Linked DNA regions of Tribolium castaneum. The main gene of each other region encodes a partner of the protein of the gene in region 3 in a complex. Links are inferred from orthologs where the notes say so. Each region holds a gene or a part of one and is shown on either strand. Other genes may lie near its edges.

Evidence for each region.
Region 1: Polr1B (region 3) and Polr2F share a complex: the UniProt entries of both Homo sapiens proteins name them as parts of the pol I pre-initiation complex. The link is inferred for Tribolium castaneum from reciprocal best matches to the Homo sapiens genes POLR1B and POLR2F.
Region 2: Polr1B (region 3) and Polr1F share a complex: the UniProt entries of both Homo sapiens proteins name them as parts of the RNA polymerase I (Pol I) complex. The link is inferred for Tribolium castaneum from reciprocal best matches to the Homo sapiens genes POLR1B and POLR1F.

The regions. Positions count from the first base shown.
Region 1 is NC_087398.1:1,180,202-1,185,743, reverse strand, and holds Polr2F (DNA-directed RNA polymerases I, II, and III subunit RPABC2), read right to left. Parts: upstream 2,447-5,542; coding exon 2,051-2,446; 3' UTR 2,005-2,050; downstream 1-2,004. Other genes in the region: probable ATP-dependent RNA helicase DDX23, read left to right, coding at 1-1,679, 1,775-1,992; Kua (plasmanylethanolamine desaturase 1), read right to left, coding at 3,870-4,130, 4,299-4,517, 4,561-4,772. UniProt on the Homo sapiens protein: DNA-dependent RNA polymerase catalyzes the transcription of DNA into RNA using the four ribonucleoside triphosphates as substrates.
Region 2 is NC_087394.1:6,581,886-6,588,649, reverse strand, and holds Polr1F (DNA-directed RNA polymerase I subunit RPA43), read right to left. Parts: upstream 3,818-6,764; 5' UTR 3,569-3,817; intron 3,518-3,568; 5' UTR 3,465-3,517; coding exon 3,277-3,464; intron 3,225-3,276; coding exon 2,895-3,224; intron 2,392-2,894; coding exon 2,219-2,391; intron 2,167-2,218; coding exon 2,045-2,166; 3' UTR 2,005-2,044; downstream 1-2,004. Other genes in the region: nitric oxide synthase-interacting protein homolog, read left to right, coding at 1,491-1,678, 1,732-1,840, 1,894-1,965. UniProt on the Homo sapiens protein: Component of RNA polymerase I (Pol I), a DNA-dependent RNA polymerase which synthesizes ribosomal RNA precursors using the four ribonucleoside triphosphates as substrates.
Region 3 is NC_087399.1:7,554,411-7,566,644, reverse strand, and holds the end of Polr1B (DNA-directed RNA polymerase I subunit RPA2), read left to right. Parts: intron 1-4,372; coding exon 4,373-4,659; intron 4,660-4,709; coding exon 4,710-5,060; intron 5,061-5,114; coding exon 5,115-5,525; intron 5,526-6,358; coding exon 6,359-6,523; intron 6,524-9,235; coding exon 9,236-9,454; 3' UTR 9,455-9,499; downstream 9,500-12,234. Other genes in the region: cytochrome c-2, read right to left, coding at 9,792-9,937, 11,547-11,727. UniProt on the Homo sapiens protein: Catalytic core component of RNA polymerase I (Pol I), a DNA-dependent RNA polymerase which synthesizes ribosomal RNA precursors using the four ribonucleoside triphosphates as substrates.

The DNA of each region.
Region 1 (5,542 bases), on a different chromosome or scaffold from region 3:
GAAACGTCGTCAGGAGGAAGTTGACCGTTTGAGGAAACAACAAGAAGCCGAACGGAAAATAATCGAAAACGTGCAAGCTTCCAGACAGGAGGAACAGAGAAAGGATGACCGGGAGTTTCGGCGGCCGCGTGATCGCGAAAAAGACGAAGACAAACAGAAGGATAAAGACAGGGAGAAGGAATCCGACGCGATTAAAGAACGCTACTTGGGTTTGATAAAAAAGAAGCGACGAGTTAGGCGTTTGAACGACCGAAAGTTCGTGTTCGACTGGGACGCCGGTGAGGACACGTCCCAGGACTACAATCCCTTGTACAAAGAGCGCCACCAGGTGCAATTTTTCGGCCGCGGAAACCTCGCCGGAATCGACATCAAGGCCCAAAAACGCGACCAAAGCAAATTCTACGGCGAACTACTCGAAAAACGCCGCACCGAAGCGGAAAAAGCCCAGGAAAAAGTCAGGTTGAAGAAAGTCAGACGTAAGGAAGAGAAGCAACTGTGGGACGATCGCCACTGGTCGGAGAAAGACGTCTCGGAAATGACCGAGCGTGATTGGCGCATTTTCCGCGAAGATTACAACATCACAATCAAAGGCGGCAAAATCCCGGAACCCATCCGCTCCTGGAAAGAGTCAGGCATCCAGAAAGAGCTGCTGGAAATCATCGATAAAGTGGGCTACAAGGAACCAACCCCCATCCAGAGACAGGCGATTCCCATCGGGATGCAGAACCGGGATATTATCGGGGTTGCGGAGACCGGTTCGGGCAAAACGCTTGCGTTTTTGATCCCGCTTTTATCCTGGATTCAATCGCTCCCGAAAATCGAACGCACTGAAGATGCCGATCAGGGCCCCTATGCCATTATTTTAGCCCCCACGCGTGAATTGGCCCAACAGATCGAGGAGGAGACGGTGAAGTTTGGCCAACCGTTGGGGATCCGCACTGTGGTGGTTGTGGGCGGTTTAAGTCGCGAGGAGCAAGGTTTTAGGCTGCGAATGGGGTGCGAGATTGTTATTGCAACCCCGGGACGACTTATTGATGTTTTGGAAAATCGCTACTTGGTCCTGAACCAGTGCACGTACATTGTTATGGACGAAGCCGATCGCATGATTGATTTGGGATTTGAGGCAGATGTGCAAAAAATTTTGGAGTACATGCCGGTCACTAACTTGAAACCGGACTCGGAAGAAGCGGAAGATAGTAAAATAATTTTGGCGAATTACAACAGTAAGAAGAAATATCGGCAAACGGTGATGTTTACGGCAACTATGCCACCGGCGGTTGAGCGACTGGCGAGGACGTATTTGAGACGTCCGGCGGTTGTGTACATTGGTTCGATCGGGAAACCGACGGAACGGGTCGAACAAATTGTGCATATTATGACTGAGAACGATAAGAGGAAGAAGTTGATGGAGTATTTGTCCAAAGGGGTCGATCCACCGATTATTATTTTTGTTAATCAGAAGAAAGGGGCCGATGTTTTGGCCAAAGGGTTGGAGAAGTTGGGCTACAATGCGTGTACGCTCCATGGGGGTAAGGGGCAGGAGCAGAGAGAGTACGCACTGGCTAGTCTCAAGTCGGGGGCTAAGGACATTTTGGTGGCCACTGACGTGGCTGGGAGAGGGATTGATATTAAGGATGTTTCCGTTGTTATTAATTACGACATGGCCAAGACTATTGAAGGTAAGATAAGTTTGTCCCAGATTTTTTTTCTTTATGACTAGTGCAAACTGAAGAAAAAAGGAAATCTAATCTGTAATTTGTTTATTTTTTTTCAGATTACACCCATCGTATTGGCCGAACCGGCCGTGCCGGGAAGAGCGGGGTGGCTATCAGTTTTTGCACCAACGACGACTCGGCCCTATTTTACGATTTGAAGCAAATGTTGCTATCGTCACCTGTCTCAACGTGCCCCCCTGAACTAATGAACCACCCTGAATGCCAGATTCGGCCCAATCAGCCGAAACGCCGCCGCGACGAAATGATTTTCGCTTAATTAAAATAAAACTCGATGTTTACTTAGCCTTTATTCTTAAAAACAAAATCTTATTACACTAGTGGTCAATTATTATGAGTTCGTCTATGCCCCAATCCTCGTACGAGTGGTCGGGTAAATAACGCCGGATTATGATGGGGATTTTCCGTTGTTTGAGTTCTTTCATTGCGATTTGAAGCGGGTCTGTCTCTCCGTCTAGTTCCACCATAACTGGGGCACACATGGCGATTTGCAAAGCTCTTGTTCCCAAAACACGAGCTCTTTCGTATTTGGTCATGTATTTGGTTGTTATGCGTTTGTTTTTGGGCACTCCGCCCCCGGCTTGGCCATGAGCGAGGATGTCGATGTTGTCGCCTTCCTCCTCGGGCTGCTCCAGCTCCTCGATGTTGTCGTCATCGACGTCGTCGTCGAAGTCGTCCCCCACGTCATCACCGTCGAATTCTTCGTCATTCATTCTCGATTTCTAGCTAATTGACTAATTTAAAGGCATACACAAACATAGCACAACGTTCAGATGTCAAATGCGTCAAACGTCAAAAGTATTGGTTATTGGAGAGTTGCACGAAAGTGCATCAGTCCGAAACTTGTTATCGGTTCAAACAATACTTTTACTTTAGTGTATTGTTGGTTGCGTCGCAGTTGCGATAAAAACTTTTTTTGATGAAATTTTGATTGTTACGATTTTTTTAAGTTTAGTTAACAATTTGGTGCGAAAAAAATAAAACACATTAAATTCAAGCAACTTTATTGTATAAAATAATTGCATTTGTTCCAGACTTTATAAAATACCGTCTTGTCTATTATAGTGGCGGTCAGCTCGATTTGCGTGTGCGTCAATTTCATTTTTTCATTACCAACACAAAGCTATAAAAATTGTCAAAAACAATGCAAATTTAAACAGCTAAGGGCTATCTAAGGGTGGTATCCTTGAACATTAATTGACATTGACAGTAAATTATAGACGTCGTCGCATCGTTGTCGAAAGTGTGTGTTATCGGTGTTAATCGTAAGTATTTTCTGTTCGTTTATTGTGTTTTGTGATTTGCGTTTCGTTAGGTTTTTGATTCTGCGTTTATTAGTTCTTGTTTTGTGAATCTGTATTTTTTGTAACAACTTCGTAACCTCAAAAAATATTTGATAGTTTGTCACCGCTATGCCCCTGCTGTGTAAACGTAGTGAGAGAAATGTCAGATGACGCACACGCAAATGGAGCTGAGCGCACCATTGCAGTTTTGTCTAGAAATGGTAAAAATAACTGCGATTTATTGCGATGTTTAAATCACAGTGTTTGTCTAGTTAACAAACCATTTTTTGTGGTAGTTTCTAGCGTACGACTGCTTATTGATTAATTGAATAAAACGCAGACGGAGCTCGTCATAAAGCTCAAATAATTAAATAATTGCAAACAAGTTGAGAATTAAAAACCTTAGCCTAGTCATAAGTCGTACAAATTACCCTACTGGGTGTTAAGCGTGTTTGTAATGATAATGATTCATAAAGTACCTAAATCAGGCACTCTAACTACTTTGGTAGTGCGTGTAGATTATCCCTGGAGTGTTTAAGACTAGCTTCAATAAATCTAAAATTGATCAAATCATTAGGCTAAATTGTAAGAACTATTAAACATTTAAAAAATTGGCCCAAGGCCCATCGCTTGGTCCCCAATGGTTAACATGATTTTGTAACAATAAAAGTACATTACATTCGTTGTCCAATCTTAAAATCAGGCACTTGATTATGTATTTATTGAATCGAACAAAACGTGGTGTTCTCTATCACCAATAAATCGCTAAATCAACTAAATGAACTTTTGGCAATTATTCCACAGACACGTAGAACTAACAAAACAAACCCCATTCATAACAAAGACAAAAATATCACGTGCCCTTTTGCGCCCACTTCATATCATCAGCCCGCGGTTTGTAGCCCGTGGTGTGTTCAATCAGCAGCTCTAGGATGCTCCAAAAGCGCAGCTTCTCCAACGGCCAATTGAGCCACCCGGTGGTGATGCAAAAGTAGGTCTCATGCGGGGCCACATGGTGGATGCGGTGGTGGCGCCTCGGCAGAATCACATGGTGCTCCTGCAGCCACACCACCCACGCCGGCAGCCCGAAGTAGGTGTGCGACCACTTGTGTATCTGGAAAGTGGCTCCAATCAGCAAATGAACTCAGATTTATCGGGCGCGTTACCCCAGGTGTGCGTGTTTGCCACGGGCCCTATCATTTTATAAAGTATTATATCGCGAGCTGATCTAAAAGCGCACACACGACCCGAGGAATTAATTCGAATCAATAATTAACTCTACCTGATTGGTCATTGCCACGAAAATCGCCAACAGAAACACGTAGCAATTCCACGTGAACTTCCTCTCGACCCCGTCCGCAGGCAGCGTCAGAAAATCCCAAACCATCCTCGCCAGAAACGGAATGGTCACCATGAAGTTATCACCGTTGGTTTCGATAAAGTCGTGGCGGGTGATGGACGTCGGATCGATGTGGTGTTCGCGGAACGGCCGCAAAAAATTCTACACAAAATTTAAAATATCAAACATTTCGCTCTCCACTCACTTTGCCCAAGATGGGGAGCTCCACCGAGCCCCACGTGTCGGCCGCCCAGTGCACGAGTCCCGAGCCGAAATCCGCCGTCACAATGCCGCAAAACGCCGCCACCAAAATCGTGCTCAAGTTGTCCATACGGACGTGGAATATTATGAAGAAGAAGTTGACCACCATAAGGGTCAAGCAGATTCCCACGCAGATGCATTCCTGAGTCCGCTTCCCTGCAAAAAGGGAGCGGTGTGACTCGGCTAATTACACTTGGGCCCAGTATTAGTGTAAACTAGGAGGAATATTAAAAATAATCGAGTTTAATGGGTCATCGGAATAATATGAAATGTCATCAATGCATAATAAACGAACTTGTGCTAAGTAATATCGACGACAAGATCGATTCTTCCTAAATAAGCACCTATCAGAATAAAACACACTGTCGATTAGACAAACACATCAATAAAACACGAATTAAAGTGGCATTTTTTACGTTTTAACGCTCACTATAGCGTGAAACTACAATGATTCATTTTCGCGAGATATTATGTCATCGAGAGGTGGTTTCCTTTTTTGTACCTTGACGTAATTTCGTAACGGATTTATTACCACTCGAGTGATAATTTAATTTTGCCAAAAACTTACGAATGATAACACGTTTCTGTTCTAAATCCGAATATTTAAACACATTTCTTGAACATGTTACGACTTATTTTATGTAAATTTAGTTAAAGGTGAAGTAGCTTCGTACGTACAGATTGACACGTATCTGCATGATGCTTTGTGTCGTTGCAAATCTTTTATTGTATTGTAATTACACGTAACCGCAAGCTAAGTTAAGCAAAAAGGTTAATCTAAAGCAAACGTTAGTGATGATAACAAGGCCTCACTTTTCAGCATTAATTCCTCTATGGAGACATAATTTAAATTTTCTCATACAACATGTATGAATGTAAAAAACACGACAACTAACTGTACATAACTATATATAACTATTTTTCGT
Region 2 (6,764 bases), on a different chromosome or scaffold from region 3:
TAAATCGTAAATTCCACAATTTTTCCTGTATTCCAAGGTTTTGGTATGTTTTATGGGATTTTTTTTGTAAAAATAAAACGAAAATGTACGTAATTTTGCTAAGCATTAAGTCAGAGTTGCCTTTTTTGAGTATTAAAGTACATTTCTGATGTTAAATCAAAGATTTACTTAGAGTTTTACAAAAACTAATTGAAAAATCACCATACTAGATCAAAATTGAAGTCATTTTAACTTGTTTCATTCGATTATTATTTCGTTCTTAAACCAGAGGCTCAGTTATGCAAGGTCTTTTCAAAATCTGCTTAAAAATTGCAAAAATCAATCGAAATTGATCGGATTTTGACTGTTTTACTGTTTTAGTTTCTAAACTAAATTAAACTCGTTTTTTAGTAAAGTTTCGTCAGAAATGAGTCAATGAAATATAAAATTTAGTCGAAAGTAGTGTTATTCTGACCTTACGCAGCCCTTTATCAAGCAAGTTTATCAAAATTTTTGTCTGATTTTGTAAAATCAAAATCAAAAAATCACATTTTTTTTCTTATTAGAGCATTTTGGTACGTTTTCCAGTAATTTTTTAGTAAAAATAAGACGAAAATGTACCAAATTTCGCCAAAAATGGAGTCAAATTTGCTTTTTCCTGAGTATTAAAGCACGATTCTGAGGTAAAAAAAAATCCGAAGTTTCACTAAATCTGATAGAAAAATTGCCAAACTAGATAGAAATTGCATTTATTGTTTCATTCGATTTACCTCTTTTTTGAATCAAATAAGGCTCATTATTTTGTAAAATTTTATCAAAACACCCCTAATAAAAATAAAAAAAATAAATCGAAATTTGAAAATGGTCATATTCTTACCTTTATGAAGTTTCTAAACAAAGTTCTTAACTAAAATATCAGTTTTTTTGTGTAATTTTGCCAAAAGTGCCCGAAAAATCATCAATTTAAATCGAATATTCCAATAATTTTGCCTGGTTCGAGCATCCTAATACGTTCTACAGCAATTTTTTCGCAAAACTTCTTTAAAAGTCATATGAAAATGTACCAAATTTGTTTTCGCTCAAGAACAGAACACAAAAAATGAATAAGTCGCCAAAAAATAATTATTTATCTAAAACCTGGCCAAAGACAAAATTTTGGGAAGACCAATAATAATGGCTAAGAACTTTCGACATAAATAAGTACAAAATTTAGCCAAAAGTGTTTCTGTTTTTGTTTGTGAGGTTGCACCAAAAATGATACTGATGGCCGCAAAATTATCAAATTAAATAAAAAATCACGTTGTTATAGTGTTTTAGTACAAATTATTTCGCAAAATTTCTTTAAAAATAAGACGAAAAAAATCACAGAAATTGGCCGGAGAGGAGTTATTTTTGTGCTAAAAACTTGTAATTTTTTCAGCGCGGGGTCTGGTTATTATTTTTTTTTGGTTAAAAAATGTTATGACCGACTAAACATATTTCCCTCAAAAGTAATTACTTTGTTTGTTAAGGACAATGTGGTATTGTGCCCCATTTCGGGGAAACCCCTCAAAGTAAAAGACTTAATTGACGTCAAATTCACTCCAATCAAGGATTCAGGCGACAAAAAATCCTTAATTGCGAAAGAATGTCGTTACATGTGTGCTGTAACACACGATGTTTTAAGTAACTCAGTTCCCTGTGCTGTTCTCAAACCAACGTAAGTTAATAACTTATTAACAACACTAAATAAAAAAATGACCGTACTTTTAGGGGTGACGTTGTTACGCTAGAATGTGTGGAGAAAATTATAAAAAAAGATTGGATACATCCGCTCACTAGCAAAAAATTGACAGAAAAAGACATCATTGTAATGCAGAGGGTAAAACAGTAACACTTCAATTTGTAACAAAAGTAATGCGGTTTTTATTATAGGGGGGTACAGGCTATGCCCAAACTAATGTGGAACTGGAAGCCAAGCAAGAACGCCCAGCTCTTCAAGCCTGAATTATTTAAAAAAAATTGAGGCATTTACAAAGAAAAGAATTGTGTTTTATATTTTATTTCATGTATTTGTGGAACAATTTTATGAAGAATCCTCTTGTACATGTTTTTTCTTTTTCTTTTTGATTGGTGGTTCAATATCTTCGTCAACTTCCGCCTTACGTTTAGTTTTTTTCTTACTCTTCTTTAAACTTATCTCAGGTTCTGAAATTAGTTGTCAAGAAGTTGTAAGAATTTTTTTTAATAAAAAATTTACCTTCTTTTATTAATGTGTCAAAATTAAGACTCTCGTCATTGAACGACTCATCAAAAATAATTTTTTTCGCTTTCTTCTTACTACTTTTTGTCACTGTCTCATCAAGGTTTTCTTCAAAAACTATTTTATTGTTCGACTCGTTTAATACGTTTGGAGTCGCGTCCAAAACATTGCTACAATTAATTGAATTAAGTTTTGTCTACAGGGTGAGTCTGTTATAAAGTATATTTGTTACTACATCTCAAAAACTAGTCCCACAGAATTCAGCGTTTGCTAGTAAATACTTTATATTTTTTTCTGTGCTTGTGATTTTTTTCAGAATTTTTCTACAATTCCGTACAATTAAAATCAATAAATAAATTAACTAAGCACTACTAATTATCTACATTTTTTTTATTTCCTGTGTCACCTGAAAACAAGCGATGGTTAATTAAATGTTGCTGAAAAAACTGTAACTAACCCCCAAAAAAAATAATTAAGTAAAAATAAAAAATTCAATTATTCGTATAAGAAAGGGTAAACAAATTCTGAAAAAGAAACACATGTATAGAAAAAAATATAAAGTATTTAATAATTTAATAACGCTGACTTTTGGGCGACTATTACTTTTTAAAATATGGTGAGAAATACTTTTAGCAGACTCACTATGTAGTTGTATGATGAAAAATAAACTTACATAATTCTACCTTTAATGTAAGGCAATTTTCCCTCGAAATTTGTTGACGTGATTTCTAGTTGTATTCTACTGCCAGGGTTCAAATTTTCGCCCAACCACTCATGTTTCTTGGGCTTTGGCAAAGACACATTAAAAATTTTATGTACCAGACAACCAACATGATCTTTAGTCTTTTTGTGTACGACACCTTCCAGTATTTTACCTTCCACAGGCTTAAAAATGAAGAATTCGGCCTCAATATCGGCGTGAATGTAGCAAGAATCATCACAGATTTTTCCTGCTTTTGACAACAATTTTGTATTTTTGTAACCACACAGAATCCCATCTAATCTACAAATAAATTATTAAAACTATTGGCAAAACTTTCATTTTTACCCAAAACCTGGCACTAAACTTCCCTATCCTTGAATTGAGGATCTCCTTAACTGAATTATTTAAATCGTTCAAGTGGTAAGGGTGGAGGGCTATGTGTTCCTGGAGGGTAAGTAATTCCACACACGAATTCTTATCCTCAACTAACGAGTTTAATTCGTTTAAATTAAAAGTTTTTAATAATTTTTGTTTTTTCATTTTCGGGGGGCCCACGTGTGGGTATGATAACCTCACTTAATTTTTTTGGAAACCTAACAAATGTGTTATAGTGCAAAAAATGACAAAAATATTAAATGACTTACGTGAAATCACAAACCCACCATTTATTAATATTAATTAGGCCACAAATCCACGATAATATATCACCTCAAGTCACAAAAAATGTGAGGTTACGTAAAATAATTAACCGGTTTTTTACACTTTTATTAATGGTTCTTATCTACTATAGTACACTTATGTAATTATACATGGCAATTGTATTTACTCCATGACCTTTTTTTGAATGTGTTAAAAAATTCTTTTTTTGATTTTTGATTCTGGTGCGCGCTTTCGACCCAATGTGCATTTGATACTCTCTTCTTGTTTCGTGTATTTGGAACCCAGACACTTTTTTGTGTCCTAGTGTTAGTCCTTACGTTCAATTAAAAGAAAACTTGTAGGAATTTGGTGTGTTTTTATATTTTTCAAAAACTCAAAAAAAAAGACTCAAAAACCATAGGATTCTAAGCGCACAGTTTAGTGACTTTCAATTTTTCCAACTCTGTGTCAGTCGTACCAATTATTTCAGGTGTTGACATTTTACGTGTTGTCTCGTTTCAAAAGTGGTAAAGGGCTTGTACAAAGTTAAATACAGTTGATAAATGTTTTAAAACTGTGTGAAATGGATTAATAAACGTAATTATTACAAGGAAACCTCTAAACCGGTGAGTTGTAGATATTATACTGTGATATCAACTCGTTAATAAGTTGGTGGTTCAAGTGGGATATGTTGCTTATTTTTTGTTTTTTAACAGAGATTAACAAAATTATTGCAAGAAATGATGCCAGATTAGTGAGGGATTAATTTTAAAGTTTTTGTTCTAGAGACAAAAACATAAATTTGTGGAACTGGATTCAGTGTTAGTGTTATTGTTTACTGCATGTTGATAGATTTAGTTGATTTCATATTACTTTTTATCTTACTACATCTGTTGTGTTATTTTTGTATGGATTAGAACCACCCAGACTCCGGAATAGATAATAATAATGACTAGATAAGTTGATATCACACAAGTACTTATCTGTTATTTCTAGTGTTTGTGCTAGTGATTGCTAATTATTTCAAGTTTTCCTTATTTATTTTTGTGTTTTTCAAAAATATACAGCTTTTATTGCATCATCTTACAGATAAAAGAACTCGTGAGAAAAATGAGTTTTTTTGATCATATTTCATGTTTCTGGTAAAGTAGTAATAAAACCGATTAAAAAACTTTAGGGACATGTAAGAAGCTAGAAAGGCATCTTAATGTAGTAATAGTAGTATGCCATAAAAATTATTATTATGATGTCATACTTTTTTGTGACACTATGTATAAACAAAAATATTTTTTTGAAATCCTAGAGTATAAATTGTTAAATAATAACTGAGCCACCGAAGATGGAAGCTGGGCTGGACCACCTGTACAGGGTGCTACAGACTTTAAATTTTAAGAAGTTTGAAAAAAAATTGTAAACACTCTGTAGTAATTCAGATCAATCAAACTCAGTTAATAAGCCTGTTAGGCCTTATTTAAGACGTACGTGATAATAATGTCATCAAAAAAGCACTGTTTCTATTTTTTACTAATTTTTAAAAAATAAAGGTGTAAAACCGATTTTTTTGTTTTTTTTTTAACAGCAATCCCTAAACTGAACTAAAAAAACCTTTGAGGACACGAAGAAGCGAAAAAGGCATCTTAATGAGCTCAAAAAAATAATAGCATTCTATTAGAAAAATATACTCAGTGTCATAAAGATTGCAACACCAAGAAGAAATAGAAATTTTTTGATAAAACTTGGCACAAATGTTAGACTTTTAACAGGTATTTAATACAGGGTGACCCAGCAGTGTGTAATCGGTCTATAACTTTTTTACTATTTGAAATATTACTATTCTGTACTAAAAATATTTTTGTTATACACAGGGTGTTGTATACAGTGTGGTGAACTAAAGTTACATTTTTTTAAATGCAACACACTATATATTTTTGCTTAATTCAATTCTACGCAAAAAATAATGTAACTTTATATAAACTATTATGGGTCAATCTCTTTTTGTTTCGGAATCATTCAACTTTTCGTTATAAAACAGACCAATTTTTGAAAAATCACTGCAAAGTCGCTTATGAATATTTTCCTATAAATTTGCAACATAAAAACTTAGAATACCTTGTAGTTTGAGGAAATAGACGACTTTTAGTTAAAGTACGCAGATAATACACAGGGTGTGCCAAAACGCAAAAAGTTCAATAACTCATTTTTTTCAAATGGAACAGCCTGTATTTTATTAAATGTGTCGATAGCATTTTTGATAAGCTTTCTAACGGTATAGGGCTTGCATAGCAAATTTAAAATATCTTTTGAGATTTTTCAAAAAAATATATTTTATTACAAGACAATATGTTAGCCTAGAATCTGATAGTCAACTGGTAATTAATTTTTGGATATGTACTAATGTGACTAATTACACAAGTAATCTAATTATTACCTGATACCTAAATGAATTTCACTCATCAAGAATTATTAATAAAATAAATAAAAAATAAAATTTTATTTTTTTGAACACTTTAAGAAATATTGTAAATTTGCTATAAAAACCGCATATCAATAGAAAGCTTATGAAAAATGCAATCGACACATGTAAAGAAATACATGGTGTTCCATAAAAAAAATGAGTTATTCAACTTTCTGCGTTTTGGCACACCCTGTACATTATTTCCGTGTTTCAAGTAAAAGTCGACTATTTTCTAAAACTACAGGATATTTTGAATTTTTCTGTTGCAAATTTACCGGAAAATATTCATAGGCGACTTTGCAGCGATTTTTCAAAAATTGGTCTTTTTGATAACGAAAAGTTGAATAATTCCAAAACAAAAAGAGATAGACCCATAATAGTTTATATAAAGTTACATTATTTTTTTGCGTAAAATCTAATCATGCAAAAATATATAGGGTGTTCCATTTAAAAAAATGTAACTTTGGTTCACCACCCTGTATACAACACACTGTGTATAATAAAAACATTTTCAGTTTGTGGACTTTAAGTCGCTCTATCGGATAATAAAAACAGAATCGCAATATTTAAATAATAAATAAGTTATAGACCGATTATGCACCTCTGGGTCAGCCTGTACGTTACAAAACAAAATATGTTTTTTTTTTTTAAATAAACATTCATTAGCTTGATTTTTTATTCGTTCAAACGTTTAGGGCCGGCTTACAGAAAGCGAAATTAAGATTTAATTCAGAATTAAACTAATT
Region 3 (12,234 bases):
ATCTAAAATTATAGCGGAAATACCGGAAGTAGGAGTTAGTACACGAACAATTCAAAGAAGACTGGTTGCAGCAAAGCTTTTTAGTAGACGTCGTGCTAAAAAACCTTTGATTTCCGAAAGAAATAGACGCGCCAGACTTCTATTTGCAAGAGAACATTTGAATTGGACAATGCAAGATTGGAGGAAAGTTCTGTTTAGTGACGAAACTCGATACAAATTATTTAATTCGGATGGAATGAAACGTGTAAGACGGCCAATCAATACATGATTCAACCCCAAGTATGTTACACCCACTGTTAAACATGGTCATGGTAGCGTTTTTCTGTGGGGGTGTTTTTCGTGGAATGGTGTGGGTCCGTTGAGCTTTATTGAGGGTAATATGGATCGGTTCATGTATAGGGACATACTCCAAGATGTAATGCTGCCGTATGTAGAATGGGAAATGCCTCTTCGTTTTATCTTTCAACAAGATAACGACCCCAAACACACTTCTGCATTGGTCAGTGAGTGGATCCAAAATAATAATATTCATGTTTTGCAATGGCCTGCCCAATCACCAGACCTCAACCCAATTGAGAACTTATGGGAAGAGGTAGAGCGACGAATCCGGATACAAAGATTTCCTAACAAGCAATCTTTGATAGATAAAATCAAGGAAGTGTGGTCAAATCTGGATGGCAATGTTATTCAAAAATTAATTTCTTCAATGCCCAGACGGTGCCAAAAAATTATACTTAATAACGGCTATGCCATAAATTATTGAATTTTTCGTTCTATTTATTTAAATTTTAGTGTTGGGTAGTGTTATGGAAATGTTGAATAAAATAAAATTTGAGTTGAAAATATTTTCTGACAATGTTGCCTTACTTTTGTCACATTAATATCGGGCATTTTTATATTTCAAGCTAGTAGTATGTCATAATAATTACCCACAGGCTATCCATTTTCAACACGAATAAGAATATCTTTAAACATTTATTATAAAATTAAATTGAAAGTAAATACCAACTCTTAAAATTTAAAATACCAATATGTGTATATTTTTCAACATTTTGCCTTACTTTTGTCCGATAGTGTATATAATATGTATATAATAATATATAATACATAAATAAATAAAAAATTAAAATAAAATAAAAATAAATATACAGGGTGTCCCACCGAAAAGGGCACCCCCCTCATAACTTTTTTATTTATTAATTAATTTAAACAAAATTTAAATTACACCTTTTAGAACCAAAGGTCCACATTTTAGCGCTACAAGTTTTTTTTTGAACGTATCATTTATGAAATAATTAATTTAAAATTAAGAAAAAAAATTGGAAAATTGTTTAACTGCATATTATTAAAAGAAGCAAGTTTTCATTAACGTATTAGCAAACATCGTTTTACCAGAAGTAATGCAGATTCTTTAAAACCTTTTTTTTAAAATCGCAATGTCACTTTGACATAAAAATGTCGAAAGATATTCAATTCCTTTATTATTCAGATATATATTCCTTCAAGATTATATAAATAATCTAAAAACTATTAAATTTAAATTTTACTTTAGACACTTTATTTACAATTTGCGACATAGAAAAACAGTATACTTCGTTATTTTGCTACCATGTTTGGTATTGAAAAGAATTCTATAAACCTTGGATACTTTTACGGTGAACAATGATCATTTTGCGTTATACACAAAAATACTTTGGATATTTTTATGTTGGATGAAATTACGTTTTTGACTTTTTTACGGTGGACAGAAGTATTGTAGCAACGTTTTCTTTGTACACCATGAAGTTTAACAACAGATAATGGTGTTTAAGATCAGCGAGCCTCACAATAAGATGTTTTGACAAGGGCGACCCGAAAATATTTACGATATCGATCGGTTCGTTGAAAGATTGCAACCTGTCTGCAATAAATCACACAATAAGCTTGCCTGAATAATTAATTAGCTTGAAAGGTCCTTGTGGTTTGGGCTAATCATAATAAAAATCATTTTACTTTGGACAGAAATACTTTGGACTTTTTTACTTTGGACATAATTGGCTCTCCCGTTTTTTAATGAGTTTTCTATTATAAATACTAAATTGAAGAGGTCTCCATTTTTTAATGAAATGGAAAAACTACTTAACTGGTTAGGTATTTTGCTTACAAGGGCAAAAATAATAAAAAAATCTCATCAAGTCCAATTGTTAGGGACAAATCTTCTTTTGAAGGTTTTTGGTTTTATATCTGTTCTTATTTCTTCACATTACATAATTATGTATTCTGTAAAACAGTAAAAAATCTAAGTACAACACATTTCTTCTACTTTTAAAGAATGCATTAAATTTAATTTTGACTTGCATACTTTTGCTGAAAACACAAAAAAAAATAATACGTAATAACGAGTATGTAGTACGCTATTAAATATTTAGCGAATTTTTTCATAGCTCTTTTAAAATAATTTTTAATTATACATCAATGTGCATTTTACACTTTGTATTTTTGTTATTATTAATGTTCTGATTTTGAATTTTTTGAAGTTAGTCACTTGCACTTTGCGTATATTTTAATTACAAAAATCGTAGTTGCCAACAAATTTATTTTTTTTGCTGCCACCTACAAAAACAAAATTAAAATTGATTTTTTTTATTTATTTTTCTATTGTTGTTACACTTTTATTTAGTTCTTAAAACGCTTATTTTACAGGTTTTTATCTTTAGAGTTTTTGTTTATAAGCTTCAAATAACTGTTTTGTTGTAGCTGTCGAATCATTATTATACATTAATTTGCTTCTCTTATTTGCATTTTTTATGTGGCAATGTAATTGTCTTCTTGTGTTTATTTTTATTTTTTTAAATTACCAAATAATTATTCTATTGCTGGCTGATTAGTGATTACTGATCACACCATTTTGCAGTAATTTTTTTTAATTTGGATTAGAGAAAAAGATATAACAGCTACAAGGGAGAGAACAGTAAAAGATGCTCAATAATTTAAAGAATTTTGAATTAAAGTCAAACTTTTTCAGTCTGCGGATTATTTTTTCTTTCACAAACAATTCAGATAGGGATAAAAAGGGTAGATAATCGAAAAGACAATTCATTTATCATCGATTTTTTTTATTTGTGAGCTAGATAAATCATTTGAAATTGGTTGAAATAGTTGGTACAAATTAAATGCACAGTATTTTATTTGAACGATTTATTTTATTTACTGTGCATTTATTATTTTTACTGTGCATTTATTATTTTTTACTGATCAAAATCGAATTTATTACTGATCGCTTTATTTAATTTAATTTAATTTAATTTGTCGATTTTTTAAATTCTTTTAGTTTTTGGTTCATGAATGAGCTAAAATTTCCAGAATTGGCTGAAACCACTGAGTATATGGTGAAACAAAGAAGCAAATAAAGAATAAATATTTGCATATTAAAAACATTGTTTTTTATTTTGTTATACTTTTCTGTTTCTTATTCTTTTTTCTATGTTTACGTTATTATATCTTATTTTCAAAAACTAGTCGGTTTGTTTCGACAAGATCTGTTGGAAGTTATTTTCTGGTGAAAAAAGAGAATTTACTAAAACATTTTTCGGACCTGCTTTCGGGACTTTTTTAGTTTATTTCAGTGCCTAACTAGCCTGAATTTTAAGAGCAATGAAATAAAAAAAATGATCTATTCAAATAATGGTAAGCACAAGGTAAAAAAATACAGAATCGGCATTTTCAATAGTAATTCGAGACAAAAGTACAAAAATTTTAGTGACAATAAAAAAAAATATGGACGTATCCGAATTGCACACCATGGTGAGAAAAACAGGAACCTCTTGACCAGTTGTCCCTTATCGGTAACCGAGCGGTGCATCAAAATTTTATAATTTTATTTATTGAAGGAATAATAAAAAAAATCAGTATATTATCTATCAAACATTATAGGGTAAGTTCGAATAAGATAGATTACATACAAAAGATTGCAATTTGTTTTTCATTTGGTTATTCAAAAAAACTTTTTTCTTTACTGCTCGTTAACTGAATTTTTACATTATGTCGTAACTTAAAAATTTAGTAAATTATTTACAAATGTGAAAATATTCACAAGGAGAGACACTTCCTATCCTTACCTGTGTTTGATTTTGTTGAAAATTGACGGTGGTATTCAACGAAAAAAAAAAACTTTTATCAAAAACTGTTTAGTTCTAATTTTCATTGGGTAAAAAAAGTGTAAAGAGTAAAGTTGTGAAGAATCAAATTTTCTGCTAAAAACTGGAGACCCTATCTCTATTCTCAGCTGTTTTGGTGCTATCCTGTCATTCAGCCACCAGTAAAAAAAATAATTTTTGTTTTAACGTATTTATTAAAAACCGAAGTGTTTTGCAATTTTTCGTGTTTTTTTTAGGTGTTACGACCCACATGGAGCTCTCCAAACTGGCCTTCCTCTCAAACCTAGCCCAACTAATCCCCATGCCCGACTGCAACCAATCACCCCGTAACATGTACCAGTGCCAGATGGGCAAACAAACAATGGGCACTCCTTGCCACAACTGGCGTTCCCAATCCGAAACCAAACTCTACCGCCTCCAAACACCGGCGACTCCCCTTTTCCGACCCGTCCACTACGACAACATCAACCTTGACGACTTCGCCATGGGCACAAACGCCATTGTTGCCGTTATCAGCTACACTGTAAACCCATTAACTTCGGAAAAATCCCCAATTGAACCATCTGTTCCCAGGGCTATGACATGGAAGACGCAATGATAATAAACAAAGCCGCGGACGAGCGTGGTTTTGCCCACGGTTCCATTTACAAAACCGAATTTGTAACACTTGAACACGAGTCTTCGTATTTTTGCCGAAACCCGGAAAAACCGGAACTGGCCGAATTCTTAGACACGGACGGCTTGCCAATCATCGGACGCCGAATGAAAGATGGGGATCCCCTGTACTGTTACTACAGTGTGGACGAGTCGGTGTACAAAGTAACCAAGTTTTCGGGGAAAGAGGAGTGTTTTGTCGACATGGTTAAACTGTGCGCCAGTTTTGAAACGACCAATCGGACGGCGTGTTTCACGTTCAGAGTCCCGGTACTTCCCCCACATTTTTTTTTATTGAGTTCTTGGTAATTATTTTAATTGTAGCGTAACCCGAACGTTGGCGATAAATTCGCAAGTCGGGCAGGACAAAAGGGCATTTGTTCGCAAAAGTGGCCCATGGAGGACTTACCTTTTACGGAGACAGGGCTTGTGCCTGATATTGTCTTCAACCCTCATGGGTTTCCCTCTCGTATGACCATCGCTATGATGATTGAGGTCATGGCTGGGAAATCGGCAGCGCTTCATGGGCTAGTACATGATGCAACTCCCTTTAAATTTACAGAAGAAGACACTGCGATTGATTATTTTGGTCGGTTGTTGGAAGCAGGGGGTTATAATTATTACGGGACTGAGACCATGTATTCGGGGATTGATGGTAGGGAAATGACAGCGCAAATATTTTTCGGGATCGTTCACTACCAGCGCTTGAGACACATGGTTTCGGATAAGTGGCAGGTGATTAAAAAAAAAGTCGGATCACTTTTGTAATATTGGGATATTGGAGATTTTCATTCTGTTGTATTCGGACCAAGTTATGTTACTAAATTTGACAGTTGGCAATGCTTTTACTACTGTCATGAAAATTTGAAGTTTGTCTTTGACATTGTCAAAATTAACGAATTTAAAAGAATTAAGCGTGCAGCAACGAACTAGCCCCCTATTGCTGTTTGTGTAACCCCATCAAATTGGCTGGGGGGCCACCAAGACACTCAGCAACCACTGACAAAGGTTATTTTCAATATTATGACGAGAGAGATTAAATCAATCTGCGGCTCACAAAAAACAATAACTAATTATTTGTCTAAAATAACTTGTAAAGTAGGTTTTACCGGCCTTCTTTTTTGTCCGTTCATATTTTCAATACACAAGTTTATTTGGTGTATTTGATTAGTTGTCCATTAATTTATTTAGATTTCTTATTAAAATGTGTTATATTTGATAGTTTTTGTCATGTTTTGACTGTAAATAATATTGAGTGAAGCAGTTTTATGATTGTCTGAACGTCCCTTTTTAGCGACTTAAAGTGCAAATAATGTACTCAAATATCGGTAAAATGACTAAGCAGTGTTACTTACAAGCAGAAAACTTGACTGACTTAACGTATTTTGTAGGATTTGAACAATTTGACACTGACATATAACGTAACCTGTTTTTGAAAGCCTAAATTCGCGGTAAACTAACTTACAATGCCAAAATTTTCAAGTTTATGCGATTTTGTTTAATATTATTATTATTGTTTTATAATTTTTGTGTTGTATTTTTTATTTTTTTTTTATGGAAATTTGTAGGTGCGTTCAACTGGGCCGACCGATATTTTGACGAGACAGCCCCTCAAAGGGCGGAAACGAGGAGGGGGTGTGCGATTTGGAGAGATGGAACGTGATTCGTTGATCAGTCATGGCGCTTCGTTTTTGTTACAAGATCGCTTATTCCACTGTTCCGATAAAACAACAGTACGTACATAATTATTAATTAATACTTCTAGGTAAAAAAACGTTGCTCGAATAGTGTGAGTTTTTCACCCATCTTAGCTTCATTTTTGACAAATTTTCTCTCTTCTACTGTATGTTTTTCCGAAATTTCGCGAAATAATTGCGTTTCTGGTTGAAAATCGTGTTAAAACGTTTTTGCGCCCAGATTAGTTGGTTTAAAATGTGTTTAAATACTTGAAAAAGGTTGAAAAAACAGCATTATTGATTTAATTTGCTGGTTTTTTGTATTAGTTAAAAATTTTGCGAGATAATTACATTTCTTATTAAAACACGCCCAAAAACTCTGATATACGTTTTGATATAATTTTTACGGTTTTTTCGGTCCTATATCTCAGCGGTTCCCCACCTTTTTCACCTTTCGAACCCCTTCTAACATCCGACAGATATTGTTGAATTATTTATTACGTATTTTTTATATTTTTTGTTTTAAAATTAGGAACAGATTACAGTAAATACTTTCAGCCAATTCATTTGGAGGAATTTTAGTAAAAAAAAAATTGCGTCCAGTATTTGATTTATTTTGAAAAAATGTCACTAATGTTGGCAAAATATCCTAGATGAAAATATAGATACGAAAACACAGAAACAGGGTCAAATTCCGTTATCAGATAACAGTTTTTGATGTAGATGTGACAAAAAGTGCTTAATTAACGCTGCAATTTCCAATTTTTATTAAAAAGAAAGCAAGGAAAATGCAAAATAATTATGTGAGATAGAAAACAAATAATACGAAGGAATAAAAAAAAATGCCAATATTATTTTTAAACTTTTAAAGTCTGAAGAAGAATTTAGAACTTGCTTTAACTTCTCGCCTATTTCAGTTCAAATTACAGAAAACTGATAACCAGTCTTCATAACATATAATTGTTTCCGTCGATAAATAAGTTTATTTTTTCAGCAGAAGCGTCCTTTTTTATTAAAATTTGTGTACGAAAAGCTGATTTTTGTTCATAATATTATTACCTGTTCTTATTATTTAATAAGCATTGAGTTCTGTTTTCATAGATATAAAGTGGTAATATCTCTCTCCAAGTGTTCGATAAAAACGCGTTCAACAAACTATCTAGAATCCGTAAAAGTCGAAATTTTGATGAATCTTGAACATGAAAACATAATTAATTTTTTAAAGAAAAATAATTTATGGCCCACAGAGACAATGGGGTGCTGCCAATTTTATTTCAATTTATTATTTTGTAATTTTTACGTTAGCCATTTTATAAAATTCCGCCATTACAATACTTTTTTTGGCAAACCTGGGAAATACTGCTAAGTCTATCCTAACAAAAACATCTTATAAAAAATCTGTTTTTAGCTCAAAAAAGTGGTAGAAACCTCAAAATTGGCATAGTAACACTATTTTTGGATGTAACTGTGTGATTTTTCGATTTATTTTTGACGGAAGTCTTCGAAATAATTGTGTTTGTGGCGAAAATAAGGCCTTACGTTAGACAAGTGCTTAAAAGCTTGAAAAGTGATGGTTTAATTTGACTTATTTTATAATTTTTCGGTTCGTTCTGATGAAATCTCGTGAAAACAGGGGTTTTTGGCTCAAAAACGTGCTAGGAAGCTCGAAAAAATGCAATGATAACACAATTTTTTATCGTAAATTGTTAATTTTTTTTGTATATTTTTGATGAAATTCCTCGCACTAATTAAGTTAAGAGATTTAGTTATTTTTCAAGCCTTTTTTGGCGAAATCTCTCAAAAAACAAAAATGTTAGCTTTTCATTTAATTTTGTGATTTTTCGTCCACCTTTAACGAAATTGTGCGAAAAACCTGAGTTTTTAAATGAAAAACGTGACAAAAAGCTAAAACGGCACCATTTCGGACGTAATATCTTGACGATTTTTCGATGTATTTTTAACAGAATTACATGAAATGATTGCATTTCTAGGAGAAAAACGTCATAAAACGCTCGATAAACGAAAAATTTAATAAAGCTTTATCTCAGACAAGTGTTTATACGCTCAAAAAAGCTAAAAATTATTTAGTTTTTGATTTAATTTTGTGGTTTTTCGTTCCTTTCTAACGAAAATTCGTGAGAAAACTGAATTATTAAATTATTATATTACCTTAAAAACGTGCAAGATAGCTCGAAAAAACAATAGTAATACAATTTTTGTACCTACCTTAGCGATTTTTTGATTTATTTTTGACAAGATACCTTTTTTTTGTTGGTAAGCCTTCTTTTTAAAATCTAAATCCTAAAATATTAACACTGTTTTAAAACACGTTTCCGATAATTCGAGTAAATTTTCTGACCGGTTTTTGTGAAATCTCGTGAACTAAACGTGCCTTTATCACGGAAAAGCACTTAAACGCTCGAAAATGGTAAAAATGCACCATTTTTGAACTAGTATTCAACAATTCTGCGGTTTATTATTGCGGAAATTTCGTAAAAAAATTTCGTTTCGACTGAAAACCTGTGTGAAAATAAATAGATTTTTCGCGGTTTAGTGAAATCTTGTGGAAAAACCTTTTATAGTTAAAAAAAACAAAAAATCCCATTTTGGAACTATTTTAGTGATTTGTAAGCTTGAAGTAGAAGAATTTCGCAAAACGTAAGTAACGGCACTGACGAAAAATTAAATTAAATTAAACATCCACTAATCCACTTCCTATCCAGAAATATCCCAAATGGATTAAAATTTAATGTAGCGATTGTTTTTTAGGCATTTATCTGCACCTCTTGTGGCACTCTATTGGGTCCAGTGACTGTGATAACCCGAGTGGCTGAAAAAGCGAACCAATCCACTTGCAAGGAAACTTGTAGGTTGTGTGGCCACGGCCGAGACATTTCCGAGATACAAATCCCTTACATTTTCAAGTTTTTTGTAACCCAAATGGCGTCGTGTAACATAAATGTAAAAATGTTAACACAACACGTGTAATTTTTTTTTTTTGTAATAAAAGAGAAAATAAACGATAATAATTTATTTTTGAATCTTCTTGCGGTAACGTGAAACAGATAAAACAAACACAAAAATAAAATAAGTTATCTAATGCTTACTGTACAGCGTTACAATGAAAATGTCGGTCAATTGAATAATTTAAGGAAAAATTGGCTAGTTTGTACAAGTATTTCCCCGGTTTTGTACAAGTGACGACAACTGTACTCAACCGACAAAATGACTACTAATACGAGCGATTTAAAGTCAAGATTACGGCAAATATGTGCACACACATACGGGCTGTCGTAATTTGGACTTTACCGGCGATTTCGGCAGTTTATTTGGTTGCTTGTTCCAAGTAAGCGATAAGATCCGCCCGTTCTTGCGGCTTCTTCAGACCAGCGAAGACCATTTTTGTTCCGGGGATGTATTTCTTGGGGTTTTCGAGGTACTCAAACAGCGTGTCTTTGTTCCATGTGATTCCTGCAACAAAAATTGCCAGTCAGGCTGGGACTATGGAATTTAAATGCAAAAAAGTTGAGCTTTGCACTCTAAAGCTAAAGCTACAACATATAACAATAAATTCAATAAATTTTTAACACAAAATTGTAAGTTAGCATGAGTATTTTCAGATCTAAAGAATTTCTAGTTTGTTGATGATAAGGCCATTCGACAGTGCTTATTCTTTTTTTGCTCGGTACTTATACCTCTTACAACCACGCACATAATATCAGTCATACTTCATGCTTATCATATTGTTAGTGTAGATAATTTATACTTAACTGAAAAAAGCTTTTCTATATAATACTGTAAGCGTTGACAAAGATAATGAATTGGTCAAAAATAAAGTAAATTATTACAAGAATAGATTTTTCCCACTTTCTACCCTTTTAATCCTACAATTTCTGAAAATTTGTCCAAAACTGAGAAGAGTTGTTAAAAAGCTTAGAAGTTTAGAAGCTTATTGAATCAGCTATGGAGGAAAAAATGTAGAAGTATCGAAGGTCCAGACCAATATAAACAAAAGTTTTGTACATTCTACATTAAAAAATAAAAAAAAATTAAAACAGTAGTGGTAGTCAGGTAGGAATGGCGACATTAGAACACTTTGTGAATTTATACTATTTCATTATAGTATATACTATTTACATTATTTATACTATTACATTTTTAAAATGCCGAAAACGGTGAAAATTAGTAATTAAGTTTTTTTTAAATAAGCTGTGGCGTTAGAAGTTTTGCTATGATAGCAGCACATTGTTCTAATTACGCGTCAGTGTATTATTTTTAACATAACTAGCTCCATGTTTGTTCTGTTATTCCTACAGTTTAGTTATGGAACTTCTGATTATTTTATTCTGAAAATCGTCAACAAGGAATCAACAAAAAACACTGGATAACACTTATGGTGCACCCCAAACAGGCTGGATAAAGACACTAACAGTAACATTTAGAAGTTTAATTTGTAATAAATTTTATGACCTATAGGTTTTAACCTATATAATATAACCAGGCGTTATAAAGGTTAGAAGTTACATAATCGGAAATAACCACGCACAGATAACGGTTAGATAAGGTGGTTATTGTGATTTTTTTGTAGGAAATTCAATTTTTTTATAACATTCCCCCTAACATTTTTTCTTGCATCTGTAACCGTATTCGTAGCGTTTTGAGTGCCAATTGGTAGTCTTGAAATTTTTTTAAATATAGTTTCCGATAACATTTTTGCATAATGTTTACGTCTTATTATTGAAAATTAATTGCGCTCTCTGGCGACATTAACGGAACTAATGAAGACGGGAACGTCTTTTTTGTTCGTCTTAACCTTTAGACACCGGTTGTTGGGATAGCAGTGTCCTCAACCGGGCGATATTGTCTCCACTAAATTTCTCAAAATTATAGCAATTTTTGAAGAAATGGAAATCTTATTTTTGACTTAATTAACGATATTTGTTTATTAATCTGGAGATTTTGATACGGTGTGGTTGCACCCCCTGAATTTTCGATTGGCACTTTGGCCAAATGTCACATTTTGAAAAAAAGATGGCTGTTTTTCGTGCTTTTCCAGGTGAGTTAATATTGATTTATTTACCTTTGGCTTTATTGGCGTCGGTGTAAGCAAAACCGGCGGCTTGCCCCGTTTTCCGTCCGATCAATCCGTGCAAATTGGGGCCGGTCTTGTGTTTGCCTCCGGCCTCGACAGTGTGGCACTGCGCGCACCTTTGGACGAAGAGTTTCTTGCCCTTTTCGACATCACCAGCCGGTACTCCCATGATGCTCGCTTAACTGCAACTGATAATTTTCGATAAATCCCGTTGCAAAAAGTGCTATCAGGTGATGTAACGCTAACGCAATACCGTCCACGTGTCTAGAGGTTAGGCAAATTCCACGGAGCGTACTTTGGAAGACCGTTGACGTCACACACGTGATTCACAGTCTGCTCGATTCTTCGGGATTCTCGCTGATAAGAGATAATTGTTACGCTAGATGTGGGTGAAGGTGAAGTTTTTGAACCGGAGCCAAACTTACATAACCAAAAATTTTGAAGCAGAAATGCGAAGCGAACGCTCAAAAAATGATGTGACAAGTGAATAAGGCCACTTGTTCAAAGTCACTTGTTATGTAATCAATCAGCGGATTAATTATCGGAAAATTTGGGCATAAATTACGAATTCATTGCGGTCACGTGAGGTGAAACGACGTGGCTTTTGCCAGTTATGAATCGAGATAAAATTGTGAAATTGCGGAAAAATTTAGTACGAACCTGAATTCGCCGACCT